3 linked regions of the Arabidopsis thaliana genome follow. The protein of the gene in region 2 interacts with the protein of the main gene of each other region in a pairwise test. Each region holds a gene or a part of one and is shown on either strand. Other genes may lie near its edges.

Region 1 (3,755 bases), on a different chromosome or scaffold from region 2:
CGGATGAACTGTGAAAGGTACGGTGTAACTCATGTTGCGCATTGTAAACTCTTCAGTGCCAGATCCACCATGGTTGCTCCTCCTTTGACCAGTTAAGTTGTCCACAATGTTTGTATCAGTAGGAGGACGAACCACCTCCTTTGCGTGGTTGGAAGAAGAACCACCACCTACTTCAGACTCTGCTACATCTTCGTTTTCAGCTGTTGATCCTTCATCTGTCGCAGTTGAAACATGGGATGCTTTTGTCTTCTTCTCATGCATATCAACATGAGACGAGTCCTTCTCTTTTTTCTTATCATCATTCATCCCCGGGAACCCGAACTTTCTTTTGTTCCCTGCTTCTTTCCGTGACTCATCCTCCACCCACAAAGGTTTCGTAGAAGCTTCAGCCTCAGTTGTAGGAGCTTTTGAGAGGTCATTGAAGAAATTTTGTGGAGGCTGTTGACCCGAATCACTTCTCTGAGAACCAGAACTCGGCTCTGCAGGTCTTTGAGAAGTTGGATGCAGGAAGTTCTTAAAGTCATCAATCACTTTAGCACTTCTATCGCCTCCTTCTGCCCTGTAGTTCTCTGAGGAGCTTCCAGCATTATTATTATTGTTACCCTTAGCTTTTCCTGTTGATCCTCCACAAGAAAGACCCAAGCTGAGCTCGAGCCCATTATCATCGTCCATTTTTTCTCAAACTTTTTAAGCAAACTCTGAGCAGGTCAACAGATCTTCAGAGCACCGTCAACAATCTTGATTACCATCTGAGAAAAATACATCATGGGCAGAAAAGGACTCATTATCCAAAGCTAACCAATGGTTTCTAGAAAAAAGAATCAAACGCAAAGCTAAGAACTTTGAGAATCATAGATGGCTGCGGAAGTAAACTTCTTCTAAATTTATAAAAAGAAACACATCTGCTTGAACTTGCAACAAACATCACATGCTTTGCCAAAATCAATCCTAGTATTCAGTATAACAAATTAACAAGCTACCAGAACTCTCAGAAACATTGGACTCGGATAGTACCTTAGAAACAAAACCATTGAAAGAAACAATTCAGCAATTCTCCAGAAACTTTCTTCTCGCTCCTACCAAGTACCTTTTGAGTTCTGTGATAACAAAAAAAGACCATTTCTACAACTTAGGTTCTGAAAACCCCCAATATTCATCATTTCCATTTTGAGAAACTAAACTAAAATGGAAACAAAGCAAAGACACACATCACTCACACTTGTATGTCAGCTAACAAAAAAAAAAAAGGAATCAAAATCCAGAAATCAGAGTGAGAGATAGCACAAAGATCTAGTAACTGATAAGACACTATGCAGATCTGTCAGCTAAACGAGCTACATACGAAGAAACAAATCAATTGACTTTCTAAAGATCGAAATCATCAAAAGAATCATAACCTAGACGCGATCAGATTAAAACCCTGACCCCTAACTACACAGCAATAATGCCAAATCAGCTCAAATTAAATCACAATAAGCCGAATAAAGCTAAAACAGAAGCCGAAATCAGAATCGAGAAGATGAAAACCTGATGAAACCGAGGAAGAAGACGAACAAACCCTAGAGCTTCTTCGCAGCGTGGCGGCTCCTAGACAGTTGCATCAGCGATTGGGGCTTCTTCGGGTTCGGACAACTAGTACGGACCATTTCCCTTTTCCCTTCGTAATACTAATAATTATTATTTTATTGTACAATTAGTTTCGATTTCGTCCATGTGTATCTTGTGCATTTTCTTAACTTTTGAATAAATAACAATCGTATAGTCAGCATATATACTACATGTTTGCAATCATGAATATATTTGTACATTGTACATGTCCAATGCATGAATAGAAATACATGGGCCCAATTTTCTTTTTAAAGCCAAACTAGTCCATAACTATTCACATCTACCAACAGATTTTTCATTTCTTTAACAAGTTTTAGAGGAAACACATATGACATATCTTATGCGTTTTTATAAAGATATACTAAAAAGTTGGTCACATAGTATATAATCTATATTTTCTAGTCACCACTTTCTTTAGAATAGTTGGATAAGAGAGACAACATTACAAGATATGCTAAAACGATTTAATTACTCCATATGTGTGTAAATCGTCACTTAATTTAATACTTCAAAATTTCCTTCGAAAAAGACATAGCTAAAGATATGTGGGGATAATATATATATATATATATATAATAGTATCAAAAGCTGTTTGCCAAAAAAAAAAATTCAAAACGATAGGTTTATATATATATATATTTTAGATTGATTCATGATCAATAAAGTCGCTTTGGCCGAGTGGTTAAGGCGTGTGCCTGCTAAGTACATGGGGTTTCCCCGCGAGAGTTCGAATCTCTCAGGCGACGTTATCATTTTATTTTTGATATTTCCAGCTTTTTTTTCTTTGTCAGGCTTTTCCAGTTTTTTTTCCTCCTAAATTGACATGGTTTTATTTTTTTTGTACAAAAAATTGACATGTTTTTTTTTTAATACAAAAATTGACATGTTAAGACTTAAGACTAAAGAGGAAATTGGAAATTGGAAATTTGAATATTATAAAATAAAATTATCTTATGTTGTAAAATTTTAATGGCATGAAAATATGTTACTTATGTAAAAATAAAATAATGAAAACAAACATGGTTAATAATATTGAAAAGCTACAACATGAATAAATATATACTTTGATTGACTCATAAGCAATAAAGTTACATGGTTTTTTTTTTATTATTTCTGATGCTATTATTCATAGTTTTATAAGTTTGAAAAATAAATTAAAAAGGATCATTAACAATTCAAAGGATAAATAGACTTGTTTCTCTCTTTTTAATCGTCATATTAAATACCATAAGATGTCGAATTTTTCAACCTAATGTCTACGTTGATGATGTTGTGGCTATCCACCGTGAGACGGTGAAGAAGACCCCTCACCGTCTCCCACATACAAAATCGCCGCCGCCTATCACATTGTTTCAAAGAAACTCCTCCTCACCGACTTGCTCTCAATAGAAGTGAACTCCCATCTCCCAACCCTAGTCCCAGGAGCCTCCATCATCGTTACCAACAATTCACGATAATACAACTCTAAATATTATTCTCTCAGCTTCAACTTCTCATGAAAATCATATATGTTTTGTTACTCTTCAAAAATCCAAGGAATAAAATGATAGAAAAAAATATATTCTTAGAGCTCTTGGTGATTTCATACTTGTCTTGATTGATATCACAATATTCAGAACAAGTAATCACAAGTAGAAGACAAGCTTTAAAAAGAGGAAGAAGAAGAGACTTGTAGTTATTGCATTGAGAACAAGTAATCACAGATTCACAGTATAGTCGTCATCAAAGGACTTGAAGTCAACCCTACGGTAACTTTTTATTGAGCAGCAGAGGATGAGCATTCCGGTTCAGGTTTACTCTAGGGCGGTTCATCCTCCCCAATTAAATCGCTTGGTATGGCTTGCCAAGAGTCAACTTCTAGACGAATGTGTCCCGGTTTTCCATCCATGGCTTTCCGTACTATTGTTTGGTACTCGACATGCTTACCACTCGGATGATGATCACCACTGCCCTTGAAACCCATGTAGAAGATAGCGTTGTTGGCCTTGAGCTTCAAGTGCGGCGACTCTTCACAGCTCTTCCGAGTCTGTACAATTACATACTTGATCTTTAATGGTAGAAAACTCCTCACCAGCGAGCTCTTTATATGATACAAAATACATTTCATTTGGTTAGTGAAGAGAAGTGGAGGCAAACATAACATCACG
Region 2 (3,755 bases):
CTCATATTTCGTTTCAAGATTCGATTCAAAAAATTTGAAAATGTTAAATATGTGTTTCTGAGATTAAAGGCCAAAAGAAGGGTAAGGTCGTATATGAAAGGTGGACAGAGGGGCAAATTAGTCAGCTTGAAAAATACATCGACATTAAAAATCGGCAGCACTGACAAAACGTGTGATAACACAAATAAAAATAATCGGAAGAAAAAGAATAAATAAGGCGTATTGACTCTGGAACGTGAGAAGATGAAAGAGAGCGACGAAAACCTCTAAAGACTTATCGAGAAGTGCACCTTAGCCTAGTGAATAATGATATGTATTGACATTAACTACTACTACTACAGCTCCCAACACGTGAAAGACATGCATCTAACTCTTTCACTTTCGGTTGCCAAGAAAAAAAAAAAAAAAAAACTTTCACTTTCGGCATCAAATATATACTACTAAAAAAGTTTTTTATACGTAATTCTTTTTTAATATTTGATTAGTTCAGAATATTAATTAAAAAAATTACTTTTCGTAATCACTACATTTTGTAGTTATATGATTTTTAATTTAAAATAGTAAAAAGGAGAAATGTAACTAATTAAGCTAACATGCGCGCGATAGAATAAGGTGAAGTTTAAATTTGAGCACAAGATAGAAAATTGAGGTCAATTTAATTCGGAAGTGGTTCAAGGTATATTTTCACAAGAAAGAAAAACGTGAGTTCATTGAATCCCTCTATAACTTTACTTGAGAACAATGTAATAATATGTAAATCTGTTAGGAAACGAGCAGCCACATATGCTTTAAACAAGAGAACAAGAAAAAGAGCGGCCACATGTGAAAAAAAAACACCAGCCAAAATGTGAAACTAAGAAAAGAAAAGAAAAACCATCGACATCGTCCAAAGGATCGACCCGTCTTTTCTGGTTTGGCAGAAAACAAACTTCCAAGTTCCGACTTGACCTAGTCTTTATGCATCTGCAGTGGTGTTTTCTTTAAATCTTTTTTTGAATGGATTTGAAAATCTTATTTTTTCTTCTTCTTTCAAAACACTAACTGTGAATCACCACCAACATTTTATTGTTCTAAAATCCCTATTTGTATGTTTTATTGGTTACTTTCCCAAATATGATGAAAGTTTATTGGTGTACTTTAGTTTAGAAATGTAAGAAATTTCAGTTGTATTATTAGGTCAACCAAATATTATTCTTGAATAGTAATGTCAAATTTTGTTTATATTGAAAAATCAATAAGACTGATATCTACTAAATGTGATTTGCTATACTAGTAGAGCTAGTAGTAGCAAGATTAAAATTCATATTAAGAAAAAATGGAAAAGAAAAACATGTTTCGAGAAAAATATACAGATCAGAGACTAGAGTAGAAAACAAATATAATGTCAGAAGAACCCAATGTGACGAACAGTAACAGAAACATGTTACCAAATTTTTGAAGATATATTTTTATAAAACATTACAATGTTCATTGGACTTCCGTTATTTCCGGATATAAAATATCTTCTTTCTGCGTAGCAAGCAATTACATTACATTAGGTATATTAAGAATTTAAACATGTGTTTTGAATCATTAAATTAATTAGATAAGTAAGAGAAGAGGTTGGGAGCCTAATAAAAACAAAACAAAAAGGAAAAAGTGGATAGGTTGCCAATTGTGCCGAAAAGAAAGAGAAAGCATGAACCTCGTGCGTTAAATAAGTATCAGAGACATACTACATTTTAAAAACTCTCACATGAGAAATCAGAATCCGTTATTATTCCTCCATTTATTCATCTCAAAACCCATATCTCTCTGTCTTGATCTCTCTCTCACTTTCTAATAAGATCAAAGAAGATGTCGAAAGCTACCATAGAACTCGATTTCCTCGGACTTGAGAAGAAACAAACCAACAACGCTCCTAAGCCTAAGTTCCAGAAATTTCTCGATCGCCGTCGTAGTTTCCGAGGTTCGTTTGGTTTTTAGTCGCTCTCTCTTTTTTTTTTCTTGCGATAAATCGAATTTATTCATATGGAACTCCTGCAGATATTCAAGGTGCGATTTCGAAAATCGATCCGGAGATTATCAAATCGCTGTTAGCTTCCACTGGAAACAATTCCGATTCATCGGCTAAATCTCGTTCGGTTCCGTCTACTCCGAGGGAAGATCAGCCTCAGATCCCGATTTCTCCGGTCCACGCGTCTCTCGCCAGGTATTTTTGTCTTTCCGGTAAAGTTTTTTTTTTCTTTCTAACTTTTTTGGCGCTACCAGAAAAGACGAAAAAATTTGAAATTCAAATTTTCAAAACATTCATTTTCCTCAGGTCTAGTACCGAACTCGTTTCGGGAACTGTTCCTATGACGATTTTCTACAATGGAAGTGTTTCAGTTTTCCAAGTGTCTCGTAACAAAGCTGGTGAAATTATGAAGGTCGCTAATGAAGCAGCATCTAAGAAAGACGAGTCGTCGATGGAGACAGATCTTTCGGTAATTCTTCCGACCACTCTAAGACCAAAGCTCTTTGGCCAGAATCTAGAAGGAGGTTAGTATAATAAAAATAAAAATCACTTAGTGCTGGATTCTTCTAGAATTTTAGTTACATATTATTGCATGTAGAGATCTAAGAAGAGTTTGTTGTTAGAGAGGAATTGGTTGCTAATTAGTTTGGAATTAGATATCAAAGAGTTAAAGACTATAGTTTATGTCTATACGTATTAATATACGTTATTAATAAAAGTATAAACATGTTGTTTAATTTCTGATAAGAAACTGGTTTATGCGTGTGTATGCAGATCTTCCCATCGCAAGGAGAAAGTCACTGCAACGTTTTCTCGAGAAGCGCAAGGAGAGGTAATGATTCTTCAACAATCCAAGGATTTTTACCCCCAAATAATTAAAGAAAGGTTTTTATTTTTCTCTCTCTCGACCTTTTTTTTACTATAAGTTATTTAAGATAGTAATTATGGGTCCTGCCTCTTTTACTCTCACATACAACTTAAGATTCAACTAGTTTTGTTCAACAACGCACATGCTTATACGTAGATAGATAATGGAGATCAGTAGTAATATCGGTATACGTAGGTTACTATTGTAATGGAACTTTTAAAAAGCGCGTTGACTTTGAGTCTTTGACTCTAGTTCTGTTTGCTACACCGACAAGTTATATTTTTCAAAATGATGAGAAAACGAGGAGAAACACCGGAAAAAAATTTGAACTTTTACTTTTATCAGACCATACGGCCAAAGAAAGATCTGTATATTATATAAGTTATCACAAAACGCGGTTTCACATTTTCTTTTTCGTCTTGTTGTGTTTGCAGATTAGTATCAACATCTCCTTACTATCCGACATCGGCCTAAACGATCTCTTTTTAGATTGGGACATGGACCAAATTTGTCTTTTTCAATCGGAAGACATCCATGTTCGTTTTTGGATTTGGCTTATTTCCAATCTTCTTTTGAAGCCTTCTTCGTCGTTGCTAAATCGTATACTATTCACGACAAACGTTTTTAGGAGATTACGTTACCTACTAAGATTATATATATTGGTTTGTTTTTAAAAATGTCTATTATCTTTATTGTCATTGATAGCTTGATTTAAGAAGCTCTCTCTTATCCCGTGACCTTCTACTTTTGTTTTATTTTTTAGTATATGGTAAAGAAAATTATAACACGCCTCTTTTAGCTTCTCATGAAGCTTCCGTATCAGAGTATTATTAAAGGAAATGTGGCCATTCATCTTTGATTATATTGGTTGGTCTCTAGCTTGGGTTGTCC
Region 3 (3,755 bases), on a different chromosome or scaffold from region 2:
ATCTGAATTATTCTCTGAAGCCCTTGAACTCGCAGCAGAGAAATCTATCTGCATTTGAGCAGGAGGAAGCAGCCTCTGCGATGATTGCTGCAAAGGTAAAAACTTGAACTCATCCGTGCTTGGAACTTCCTTCACGTTGATTGGCCTCGTGTAGTTCTCAGGTTGAACCCAAGTAGGACTCAGAAGAGTGTTGTTGTTGGTGCCTGGGTTCGAAAACATAAACCTGTTCCCATTATTCGGATAAGCATCTAATCTCTTGGGAGCTCTATCATCCATTTTTCTAACCGTGAGTTTCTCTCTAAACTGTCTATGCTGTTGCTGTTGCGGTGGTTGTTGTTGTTGTTGTTGGTGATGCTGATGATGTTGAAGAAACCCTGAATTGTGCAAATCCTTGCCGAATATCTTCGTTCTGTTATCATCAATCTTTTCAGCTACAGTAACAGGTAAAGCAACAGCTCTAACCGGAGGCAAACTACTGGTAAACAATGATCTTATAGACAAGATTGAGTCTTCACTTTCAGGCAAACATGAAGTTGAGCCTAACTCAACAACACCAAGATCAGTAGGAACCAAAACAACAGTCTGAATGCCAGCAGATTTAGCAAGAAACGATCTAACGCAATAATCAGAACCCGAATTGACGACATCGGATAACCAAACAGGTTTAGCAGAGGCAAAACACTTGCCTGGACCACCTTCACCTCGAGGGAATGAGAAATACATAGAAGAAAGAAGAAACATCTCAGTGTCAGTAACTCTATCTAGTCCTAAAGCACAGTTCTCTTCTTCTGAGCCACCAAACAAATCATGAAGCTTTTGCAATACTCTCTTTCTCATAGTCTGATGCGTTTCTTCTTCTCTTCCCATACTTAGAATCCTAACGATCTCTGATTTCTCTCCTTCTTTAGGCTCTCTGCAATATCCATCGCCCCAACAGAGAACCAAATCTCCGGCCTTTGACCTGGAAATCTGCCAGAAAATGGCGTAGTTCCAAGAGAAATTAGAAGCGTTGGGTCTCTCGACGAGATCCGAGAGCTTGTTCTGCAGATTCTCGTCGCTTCCTAGAGTCATCAAGAGATTAGCATTGGAAACAGAGTTGGAAAGCAAGTAATCGAGAGCTCGTTTGCCCAGTAATGACGCAACAATCGCTTTATCGTCCTCGTTCCACACTAGGCGACCAATATTCATCTCTGCTTTCTTTTCTTTTGTTGTTTGGATCCCAACAAAAAGGAAAGACTTTTAAGAAACCCAGATCTTCAGAAATCGATTCTTAAGTCAAATGATAGGGTTTAGAAGTGTGACCCAGATGCAAATATACGGCGGAGTATAACAGTTTTGCATGGAACACCCAGAGATCTCAGATCTTGCCCCTATTTTCTTTAACAACAATTAAATGACAAAAATCAAACTCCACCAACAGAAAATGAGGAATTGAGAAGAATATATTTTTACCAGTAAAGAAGATTTGAATCAAGTCTCTTCCACCGAGATTTTCTCCTCAAAATCAGATTTTTGAGAATCCGACCCAAAAAAAAACACAAATTTTAAATCTCCCAAACCCCACCAAAATGGACAAACAAATTACCTAAATTCCCCGAAAAAGAACCCTAAGAATCCAGAAAATAAAAAAAGATGTATCAGTTTCGCTGTATCGGCTCCCTGTTTTGTCGCCGTGGCCAATTGAATGAATTCAAGGAAGAGAGAGAGTCCGACGCATGTTCTTCGTGCTCTTTTTTATTAAAAGACCAAACCCCAACAAACAAAACAAAAAACAAAACAAAAAGACTTTCATCTGAACCATGGTTAGCTACTTAACTACACAATTGAGTTTAGAAACTTAAACCGGGTCTGGTTCGATTTAGTCTTTGTCTCGAGTCTTTGATACACGACGATTGAAAACCCCTTAGATTATGTCATGGTTTTTGTCAATAATTGATTGACATAATTTTCAATTATGGGTTTTGATTAATTAAAAATTTGCAACAGATCTATCTCAACTGGTGTAGATCTAAACAAATACTATCTGACAACTCGAGATTAGATTCTCATGTTCATGGAAATAACTAAAGGGGAAACCAAACCCAAATTTAGAAGTTTGCTTTCAATTTTTAAAATTTTTGTTTACATAATTGCAAAGTATGCCAACTAAGACCGGTGGTCAAGCACCGGGAATTTTGACCAAATCAATTCACATTCAAGTTAGGCTTAAATATTCGGTTTTTGTTGTGTTTTGTTTTGTTGCAAAGACTAAAGAGTTGTTCCTTAAGTTTCAAATGCTTTCAGAATTATACAAAATAAAAGGCTTATTTTAGTTTAGATCCTTGATTATTATTTTTGGTAATATTATTGATGGTGGTTCTACAACGGGAGTAAATAATTTTTTTAAAAACAAAACAAAAAAACAAATTACTAAATAACTTGATAAATGTTGACAAAACAATTCAACTCCTTTAGAAGAAAGGAAACGCCAAGTCGATAGAGAGGAGGGCGTGAAAAGCACGTGAAGTTCACGTGGATTTAGGAGAGATGACCAGAATGAGAAGAACGTGAGATGCATTTAATTTTCTTTGGATCTCTTTTTCTTTTTAATTTCATTTTCAAATGCGCCTGCACAGCTCTGCACTTTCTCTTCTGTAACGTTTTTTTTTTCTCTTTCTCTTTTTGTTTATTCTCTCGCAACCACAATTGAATTGTAATATATTTATAGCTTTCACTCTTTAAGTCATAAAATTATCATCAAAATATAAACTACGGCTCTGCGAAAATGAATATACAATGACTATATTATTTTGGAAAAATCTTTAACAAACGATAAAGTTAAAACAAAAAATTAGTATATATAGTAATTATGGAAAATGAAGTCACGAGTGGGTATAATATATGTATGGCGGTGAGAAACACACAGCAAAAAGTGGGGACCGCGTGATTCACGTGTTTAAACTATCCTTTATTCGAGACGTTTGGGTCCCATTCCCATCTAAGTCAAACAACGACGTCGACTTACAATATCTCCAAGTCGTCAAGAATATAATATGGGCCGATATTACAATACTGGTTTTCTATGGAATTCTTGTAATGTTGGGCCACATATGTGCTAGGTCAAACGTGATATCAGCCTTTTTCCCAAACCTTAATAATGCCCCCCATCTATCCCTTATCTAGCAATCAGAATTAGAATGGGCTGTTCAACGGACTCAGTCTTGAATTCTTAAATCTCAATCTTATCATATATTTCATTGGTTTTGTTTTACCACAACAAATCGGCCTATTAGTCCAGTTAACTCTATTGTAAGAGTTGATTTAATCCCGGATAAAGTAGTGCCGGTTCTTGGTGAACTTATTCTGAATGCCACTAAACCTATCGCTTTGTTTAAATTTGTACTAACAATATATCAAGTATTCATTTATCTTCAATAATGATCCAAATTGGTTTGATTTTCACACGTGACTGTAAACTCTAGCTTCAGAAACATACTTGCAAGTTGAAGTTGTAACAATAGTTTTTCCTTAATTTTGTTACCTTATAAAAAAAAGAAAATCCCATTTTGGCGTTTATAGTTGATATATTCATGTTACAATGAATTCCGTGTTTAACGTCAACAAAATCGTCACCTTTTTGGTAACAACCAAAAAAAACACAAATCATAAGATGACTACTTTAATCTACCAACAACTCACGAAAAGGAAAAAAGAACCGACCAAAACTTAAAGCTCATCGTATGAACAAAAAAACAAATCTCGAAGCTCAATAAAAA

What was found.
Region 1: the proteins of JAZ10 (region 2) and NINJA interact in binary tests that used the Arabidopsis thaliana proteins (3 or more experiments, as listed by UniProt).
Region 3: the proteins of JAZ10 (region 2) and AT1G01260 interact in binary tests that used the Arabidopsis thaliana proteins (3 or more experiments, as listed by UniProt).

Annotation. Positions count from the first base shown.
Region 1 is NC_003075.7:14,265,009-14,268,763, forward strand, and holds the start of NINJA (Putative interactor of JAZ), read right to left. Parts: upstream 1,779-3,755; 5' UTR 1,528-1,778; intron 1,137-1,527; exon of another isoform or gene 1,098-1,136; 5' UTR 1,015-1,097; intron 750-1,014; 5' UTR 673-749; coding exon 1-672. Other genes in the region: AT4G28920 (hypothetical protein (DUF626)), read right to left, coding at 3,407-3,634. UniProt on the Arabidopsis thaliana protein: Acts as a transcriptional repressor. Negative regulator of jasmonate responses. Connects the JAZ proteins and the non-JAZ protein TIFY8 with the TOPLESS corepressors.
Region 2 is NC_003076.8:4,217,165-4,220,919, forward strand, and holds JAZ10 (jasmonate-zim-domain protein 10), read left to right. Parts: upstream 1-1,663; 5' UTR 1,664-1,836; coding exon 1,837-1,948; intron 1,949-2,025; coding exon 2,026-2,520; coding exon of another isoform or gene 2,521-2,525; exon of another isoform or gene 2,526-2,770; coding exon 2,771-2,832; coding exon of another isoform or gene 2,833-2,875; 3' UTR 2,876-3,298; coding exon of another isoform or gene 3,299-3,338; 3' UTR 3,339-3,749; downstream 3,750-3,755. UniProt on the Arabidopsis thaliana protein: Repressor of jasmonate (JA) responses. Interacts with and suppresses RHD6 and RSL1 transcription factor activities to negatively regulate jasmonate-stimulated root hair development.
Region 3 is NC_003070.9:107,028-110,782, reverse strand, and holds the start of AT1G01260 (basic helix-loop-helix (bHLH) DNA-binding superfamily protein), read right to left. Parts: upstream 1,838-3,755; 5' UTR 1,453-1,837; exon of another isoform or gene 1,378-1,452; 5' UTR 1,189-1,377; coding exon 1-1,188.